Linked DNA regions of Tribolium castaneum. The protein of the gene in region 2 purifies or fractionates together with the protein of the main gene of each other region. This does not show direct contact. Links are inferred from orthologs where the notes say so. Each region holds a gene or a part of one and is shown on either strand. Other genes may lie near its edges. The genes, in order: yata and Sec31.

Region 1 (4,485 bases), on a different chromosome or scaffold from region 2:
ACTGCAGAGTCAGAGTAATTTCAATTAATCAAAAACAAGAAATTAACTCTCCGCAACTCAGCACTTAGAGGCGGATCAAGGGTATGTATAGCCCCAAGCTTAAGCAAAATTTGTGTCATAAAATTGACTCAATTAAAAAAAAGTTTTTTTCTTAAAAGTAAATAAACACAAAAATATTTATCAAAGATAATAAGAGCGTAAGTGATACTCCAGTTGGTTTCTCCAAGATATTAAATATTATACCTAAATGTTGTCTTCGAAAATAACTTTTGCCTAAAATAAGATAATTCTAAATAAAGTTATTGGTGTCTTAACTTCAAACGTTTCCCAAAATTTCAGTTATAAACTTTTAAAAACATTTTTTAACTTCTTGAGCATTTTATTTGCTTTATGAATCAACGACCAAAATTTTTTTCTAGCATTTTTAATTATAATTTTAAATTTTTAATTGTAACGAATACTTCAGAAAAATTAAAAAAAAATTAATTTATATAGTTTCAATTTAGTTTGAATGACAGAGATCTAATCATTAATAATAACTTTTTTATCAACTTTATTAAAAAAAAATCGGTAAAATGGGACGTAGGCATTTCCGTAGTTTTGAAAGAGTACTTTTAAAGTTTTTTGGGATACATATTTAAAAAGTCCAATCTACCGCTGAAAAATCTATACCGCAAACTATTTTTGCTATTTTATTTATGACCGCAAATTATGCGTAAATACTTACCTAGTGAAGCCGGTTTAGTTAACATTTTACTGGCCATAGGATTCATTGATTTGACTGTATCTGATTGACTTCTGTAGAATTTCGCTGTAACTGCTGTAACAGCCCACCCAGCCCACGTGGCGGCTGCGTTGCTTAGACTCGGGGTTGCAGTATTGACATCGGCCTCTAAACCACAACCCCGTCATTATTCCATAAAATAAATAAATAAAAAACCTACCCATACTCTCCCTCAAGCTGGGATCCTCTGACACCTTCTCCAACTTCCCCAAAAACCCTTTAATCGTCCTAAAAACCGAATCCCGGACCGACTTTTCCGGATCCATCGTTAACTGACACAATGCCGGCAAAATTCTCGACGAAACTTCGTTCAAAAGATAATACTGTTGCGTCGCAGCCAAGGCCAAAATGCCTGCGTTACGTGCCGGAGGAAAGGGATCCCTCATCGCTCGTATAAACGCCGAAATGAGGACTTTTTGCCTAATTTGCGGATGCAAATGTTGTGCTATCTTCCCCAGACACACCGTAGTGTTGGTGCGAATGCCCCCTTGATCGTCCTTCGACTGGAGCCGCGCAAAATGCCGCAAAACCTCCACGTTTAAATTGTTGTAACTTAATTTAGGTGCTAGATGTATCACAGACTGCAAGTTTAAACATTAACAAAAAACAAAATCACGAAAAAAAGTTACTTTGACAGTCTGTTCGCGAATTGTGGGGTTGGTATCCATAAACCCGTGAGCAATTTGAGGGAAAATTTGTTCGTTTACGGTCGCAGCTTGCAAATGACCGATGAAGTGTTCAAGTTGTTGCAAAAGTCGGGACCTTGTTGCTCTGTCGTTGCTTACGAATAGTTTGACCACGCAGGGCACGATTTTTTTCTGGTATTCGGCTTCGTCAAGGAGTTGGCCCAACTGTGATACAATAATTGGGGTTTTGGGGACAAAAAGTGGAGAAAAATACCTTAAACATGGGGGCTAGAACTGCAGATCCGGCGTCCCCGTAGTCAAAGGCTGTTATCAACTGGGGCAAAATCTTGTGCTTACACACGCTTTCGGGGAAGTTGTCTAAGTGTGGTGTTAGGTTTGAGAAAAATCGGTTTTTCTCGTTTTTGTCCTTAATTTGAATCTCTTCTAAAAATAGTAAAGTGTCTACAAGATCGTTTTTAAAGTAGCCGCCGAGCTTTCGGCATCTAGTTATAATATCGGCAGGATTAGGCCTTGATGACGGATTCGCTCCAACTAACTCGCAATATAATGGACCCAACTGTTTAGGAATCTTGTCTAGGAGTTTCAAAGAAGACTGTTGATATAAAGGACCATTGAAAACTTCCCATATTAGACAACCCAGCCCCCACATATCGGCAGAACTACAACACGTTCAAATAAAACGTAGAATAATAAAAATAATCAAACAAACCATTTCGTAATTGACCGCTGTTTAGTTGGGTCATTTTTTTCAGGAGGGTCGTACATTTCCAACGATGGTATGATTTTAATAGTAACATTGGAGTTGTCTTGAGCACTTGAGACATATTCAACACCTCCCAGCTTCCACTCACCGGAAGAATTGACAAAAACTGACCAAATGTTAACATTGTTGTGTCTCAAATTACCGTCATTATTTAAGAAAGACAAAGCTCGCTACAAATTGCTGTTTTAAAAGATTTATCAACGCAATCATCACAACAGCAATACCGTGATTTGGAACAGCCCCCAGGCAATATACAAATCCTTTTGAGCCCCTTCTATCGTCAACTTCTCTAAGTGACTAGCCAACGGTTCAACGTGTTCTGTCGCTAAATACAAAACCTTATCCGATTCGTAACTATCTAAATAAGTTAAAATACTAGGGTGTCTCAATGTTTTTAGCCGTTTAACTGCCGCTTTGGCAATTTCTAACTGTGTTTCTGATCCACCCTTTATATCAAAAACAAACACTGAAACTTCCTCATTTGTGCCCTTAAACACGAGGAACTCGTCACAGTTAAATAAATTCGAGAGATCTTGATTGCAATACCTTTCTTTTGCCCTTATGTAAAGTCCATACACTCCGTTCGTCAAGCCCCTTGACTAACTCTCCGACTTCAAAGTTGAAGTCTTTGGAAGGATCGCGGGAGAAAAATGACCACATGACACTAGCTTAGCGATTATATGCTGGATTTATGCTGAATTATACGAAATTTGTACAAAGTTTTAAAAATCTAACCTAAATGTCACAAATTTTGACGTCGTACATAATGGCCGGTAAAAGAGGAAACTAGTTTTGCTAATGGAACAACTTTGAGAACGTCTTTACAACCGAAAAAATTAATAATAAACTATTTAATGTCAATTACTAATTACAACCACATAGATGGCTGTAAGTGTTAAAAAATACTAGAACTCGTTCTGATCAAGATAATTTGATGTAGATCGTTCTTGGGGAATTCGCTCGGACGCCGATTCTCGCGAACAGACAACCGTCATTTACTTGTCAAAGTAAAAAAATCAAAATATGGTGATAGTCGCACAAAGGTGTTCTTAACTGTTCATGTTCTCAAGCTTTTTACTGCAACGTAAAAAGCTTCAGCTGCATTTCATTGAGCTTTTTGTTTGTTGCTTCCATAAACAATTGCCCACTAGTAAAGTTACAATAGTGTAAACTTCTATCGGGATGTTCCATTTGCCTCTTGTGCAATTAATTGCTTTAAGGGCTTAGAATTAGTAAAGCTAAGATGCTCTAAATAGTCTGAGTAAATTTAAGGTATTAGGCTTAAGTTTGAAGTATAACTCAAGTTTGCAGGTGTTACATCTGGCAAAATGGTAAGTGGGTACAGATTTGGGTAAAAAGCTAAATCGTTGAGTTTTTGCACTTTTAGTCTGTCGCTGAGTTTCTTAAAGGTCTCCCATCCTACGATGAGAACAATTTTACCAAATTCCATGTTGATAACAACAGTAGGTCCCCTTTAAAACGACCTTCGGTGTATGTACCGACTAAAGATTTTCCATCTGAACAAAGTATGTTTTACCCTCGAAAAAAGCTCAATTTATTGCTCCTTTTTGCTTTTAGTAATAGTTACTGAGAAAACTAGTATCGTGTTGAAATACATGCAGACACACTGGGACAAAAAAGCACGTAATTCTGGACTTGGAGTATTCAAATTGCGTAATTTCTGTTTTGTAGAACACAACAAAAAAACGGGACCACGTACAAGAAAACGAAGAACCATTGCGAAAAAGGCCACGGTTGGAATAATCCGAATCTTTATGACGTAACGCCACGGGGTAACCGATTTTATATAATTTTTTTATATAGCCACTGAGTTTCGTGCATCTAATTATAGAAATATAGTAATTATGCCCAAACCTCACTTTATTTCCATCCACAATTGGAGAAATATTTTCAAATTAATCTTTATTAACCAATTAATGAATTAATGAGTCGACTTCCAGAGAGTTTTATTAGTGTGTATTTTTTTTTAATAAAAACTATTCATCATTCGCAAATCCATTCTCCTAACGGATGGTTCAATGTAACTTTGTCAATTTTTTTTCCAGCTTTTTTAACAACTCAGTGTTAACATACTAGGCTGTGGCATATTTAGATAGACCAAGCAGGGCGGTAGTATTTTAAGAGCGGCAAAAATATCCTAATTTTAATTAAAAAAAAAAGAATAGAAGGGGTTTAATTTTTTTAATGTTTCAGATTTTTGTTTTCGTCTTTTTTTGAAAAACATAAACTTAAATAAATACTGGGTGATAGATTAATAGATATCCGAATAG
Region 2 (3,827 bases):
TTAACCAAATTGGGTGATTTTTCAGCTTGTTTTATGGATATCTCGTCAATCTTGTCATTAAATTTTTCACAGAATTTGTAACTTTTTTCTTACGGTTCTAGCGAAATTTCGTTGAATTCCCAGTCCACAATGAGTTTACACACTCGAAATAACAAAAATACTCGTAACACAATTTTAACGTTTAATTAATTCATTGATTTCTTGGCTTATTTTGGCAAGGATGCTGAAAATTAGTAGAAAAACTTAGCCTTTAGTAATTAGTTTAGGATAAAATAGACAACATTCAATACTGCTTATAAACAAATATGCACTAACTTTCAAAAAGTGTAAGGAAATTTCTCCAATATTGAAAAAAAAACAATATTTGGTTTAAAATCATTTTCAAACAAATTAGATTATTTATCGGCCTATTTTTTACGAAATAGTAATTACATTTTTGCTATGAGCTGTACTAAAATGCTCGAAAAAGTCTAAGTAATGTCATTTATGATTTACATCCTAGTGTAATTTATTAATTTCAGTAAATTACAATTTGGTGATTTTTTGCTCGGTTTTTAAAAGACTCTCATTAAATTGTTACCTAAAAAAAAGTGCTTACATGAAGTATAAAAAATAACACAATCATTTTAAAATACTCTTAGAGATTTCGTGTCATATTTTTGACGAAATTCTTCGAAATTTTTGGAAAACAAGAAGTTTTAGTGTCAAAAATGTCAATTTTTAAATTTTAATACATGTCACATTTGCTATAGTTTTGCCAACTTTATTTCAAAGTTTTAGAAAAAACTTCGAAAAAAGTAAGAATGAAAGAAATATTAAAAAAAGAAGAGATTTTGTCTTGGATTCACAAAAACTAATATTGTAAATTGTACCGATATGCCAAGTTAAAAAAATCTGACTTCTTTACAATACAATTTTTTAATTCAAATTTTGTTAAATATTTTTGCGCTATAAATCTTTCAGTAAGTGGTACAATATACTCATTAAAATACACTCATCTTATGGCATCTGCTTGCACATTAACTTCTCGAAATTTTAAAAACTGCATACTACTAAACATACCTGTTAAGCACTGGAAAAGTACACAACAAGCACTAATCACTGAAGGTAGTCCTATATTTCGGAAATTTTACTCAAGGAAATGTTGATTTTTGTTTTAGTAATAAATAACAATAATTTTATGTGGGGTCCGTTTGCGACAATTGCAAGTGACAAACTAAAGAAAATTAAACGAAATTAATTTTGACGGACCATCATCATATGATGGCCGATTAATTTACTTTTGTGCAACCGGGCATATGTATTTCATCTTTCGAAAAACTCGAAAAATATGTAATACATAATAAAAGAACACAAAAATAATATTTTTACTGCGTCGAAGATGGTATTTAGGACAAGAAAGAAAGTAAAAATTTTAAATTTGTCATGACGTTTCGATACTTTATTGTATCATCTTCAGGCGAGCACGCAAGGACGTTAACACAAAATGTCAAAAAATAATTACACAATATCCTGTAGGGGCAGTTTTGTTCAAAATTGCAAGAATTAATTCAAAAGGTTTTTCGAATAAGTAATAAAATAACACTTTGGGAGAGATTGTCAAAAATTCGAAGCCTACGATATTAAATTTGTAAAATGACTAGACAAATTCAAATTCGACAGAAAAATGCTCGATTTTTTCGAAATTTGAAATTAGGGATGGCCCAATCCTAGTTTAAGTATTTTACTAAAGTAACATATTTTTCTAATATCGTCAATTTAAATTTAAAAAACTCTTTCAGGTGGTTCTGGCACGGGCTTGCCTTCGCGTAAATACGTTCTGGACCCCTCTGTAACCTCCAACCCCTACGGAGCGCCTACGAGGAACATGTACGCCCCCCAACCTGTCTCCAACTTCCAGAACAATAACTATGGGGCCCCATCACCAATAACACCCTTGGTTCCTTCCAATAATAATTACGTACCCAATCCTGTACCAATGGTACCCAATCCACCACTCAATCCCACTCCTTTGGTACCAAATATCCAACCACCGCCGCCTATGACGAGCGAGATGGGCCAACCTGCCACAGAAAAATACTTTCCTTCTAGTGCCCCCGGCTGGAACGATCCACCTCCACTAAACAAACCATTGAGACCACAGGTAATAATAGTTAAGAATTTTTCAATTCAAGTCTATAATTTTTCTCTTGAAAGTGTTACGGTGATAATGTTGAAATGTCAGCAGTGCATGCTGGGACGAAATTATGGAAACCAAAGGTATTGTGTTGGGTGGCCAAAAATGTGTGATTTGATTGTTTTTTTTGCGCTTTTTATACCGCAGTTTTTTGACGGTAAAGAAGCTTTCGTTCTACAGGGCTATTCCTATTTATGTAACAATATTTGAATGACAGGATAATCTCTCGAAAACATGCAAAAAACATTAGTTTAAACCTAATTATTGGTAATTCATAATTAAACTTCACAGATTCTCAATAGAGACACTTATTCACAAAAGAGCAAGACGTAGGTATTTACTAACTTGTCTTATTATAATAGTTTTTTAAATTACATTTAACTGCACTGTCTATTTGCACTATGTTATAATGAAGACAGTTACTTTTAACTCAGTTATGATTAAATTTTGGTAAAATGAAATTACTACAAGGGCTCCCACTGCTGCCAGTGTTGCCAAGTGTATCACATGCATATTCTCAAACGAGCTGACGAAAAATTACCATAATTTTCTACGTTAAAAGAGAAATTGATATAAAAAATATATAAATGTAAAAAAACAGTTTTCTTTAGAATTTTTTCAGATTATTCTTTTGCATTGTCTTTGTACTCTTTTCTAAATTTTTCTGATTCATTTCTAAAACCGTCTGTAGGTCTAAAATCTAGACTCATCTTCCAAATTGTTTTATAAATCTCTTTTTAGAGTTATTTATAGATTCTTGTCTAAATTTTTTTTTTTGGAATTATTTTGTAGTCTGTACTCAAAACTCGTTTAAAAAAACTATAAAATAATAAAATTTAAAATAAAATAAAACACTATAAACAATTATAATAACTATTTACACTTTTTCTACATTTTTCAAATTTTGTTTTAGATTCTACTCTTCGTCTATTCAAAATTATTTTATAATTTCGTTTAGAATTTTTGTCATTGATCTGGAGATTCATTAATTCTTTTTTATTAGCTGTTCAAAATAAAATAAAATAAATACATAAAATAAAAACGCCAATGTTTCATTTTCTTTCAAAATTAGCTGTTATATATTAATTATGCATTTCAAATAAATAATAGCTGATGTATTTTATAATTTTTAAGTAGATTTAAAAAACTATCATTAAAAATCATTTTACAATCATTAAAAACTTTTTTACAGTTTTATCAATCTTATTTAATAAAATAATACGGAAATAGAATTTTTATTGTTTTGAAACAGCTAATAGTAGTCTTTATATCTGAAATTTAGACTTCTTTAGAATACACTATTTTATATTTTTTTCCTTTTACCCAAAGATAATTTACACTGATTTTGTTTTCTGTTTATTAATTACTCACATATGTCACATAATTATGTCTATCACGTAATTTTTTTTTATATACTCATCATAAGTTTTGAAAGTTGGTTCTTGATGTCTAGTTTGGCATTCATTATTTCTTTGATGAACTGATGGTTAAACATTTTATTTGCTTTTAAATGTATTCCATCTACGTTTAAACTCTTATAAAGAGAGGTATCAAGGTGTTTGGAATAAAAATACAGTTTACGGTGAACGACTACCGTATTTCACTGTTTTTATCTAAACCTAAATTTATTTATTTTCACAAAGCACCAACG

What was found.
Region 1: the proteins of Sec31 (region 2) and yata purify together in Homo sapiens (affinity purification with mass spectrometry; 3 studies listed by BioGRID and IntAct, counting the BioPlex papers as one, with this or other methods). This does not show direct contact. The link is inferred for Tribolium castaneum from reciprocal best matches to the Homo sapiens genes SEC31A and SCYL1.

Annotation. Positions count from the first base shown.
Region 1 is NC_087396.1:14,146,219-14,150,703, forward strand, and holds the start of yata (N-terminal kinase-like protein), read right to left. Parts: upstream 2,992-4,485; 5' UTR 2,855-2,991; coding exon 2,741-2,854; intron 2,683-2,740; coding exon 2,419-2,682; intron 2,365-2,418; coding exon 2,141-2,364; intron 2,091-2,140; coding exon 1,685-2,090; intron 1,636-1,684; coding exon 1,414-1,635; intron 1,366-1,413; coding exon 945-1,365; intron 893-944; coding exon 728-892; intron 1-727. UniProt on the Homo sapiens protein: Regulates COPI-mediated retrograde protein traffic at the interface between the Golgi apparatus and the endoplasmic reticulum. Involved in the maintenance of the Golgi apparatus morphology.
Region 2 is NC_087399.1:9,888,521-9,892,347, forward strand, and holds part of Sec31 (protein transport protein Sec31A), read left to right. Parts: intron 1-1,781; coding exon 1,782-2,143; intron 2,144-2,196; coding exon 2,197-2,259; intron 2,260-3,827. UniProt on the Homo sapiens protein: Component of the coat protein complex II (COPII) which promotes the formation of transport vesicles from the endoplasmic reticulum (ER).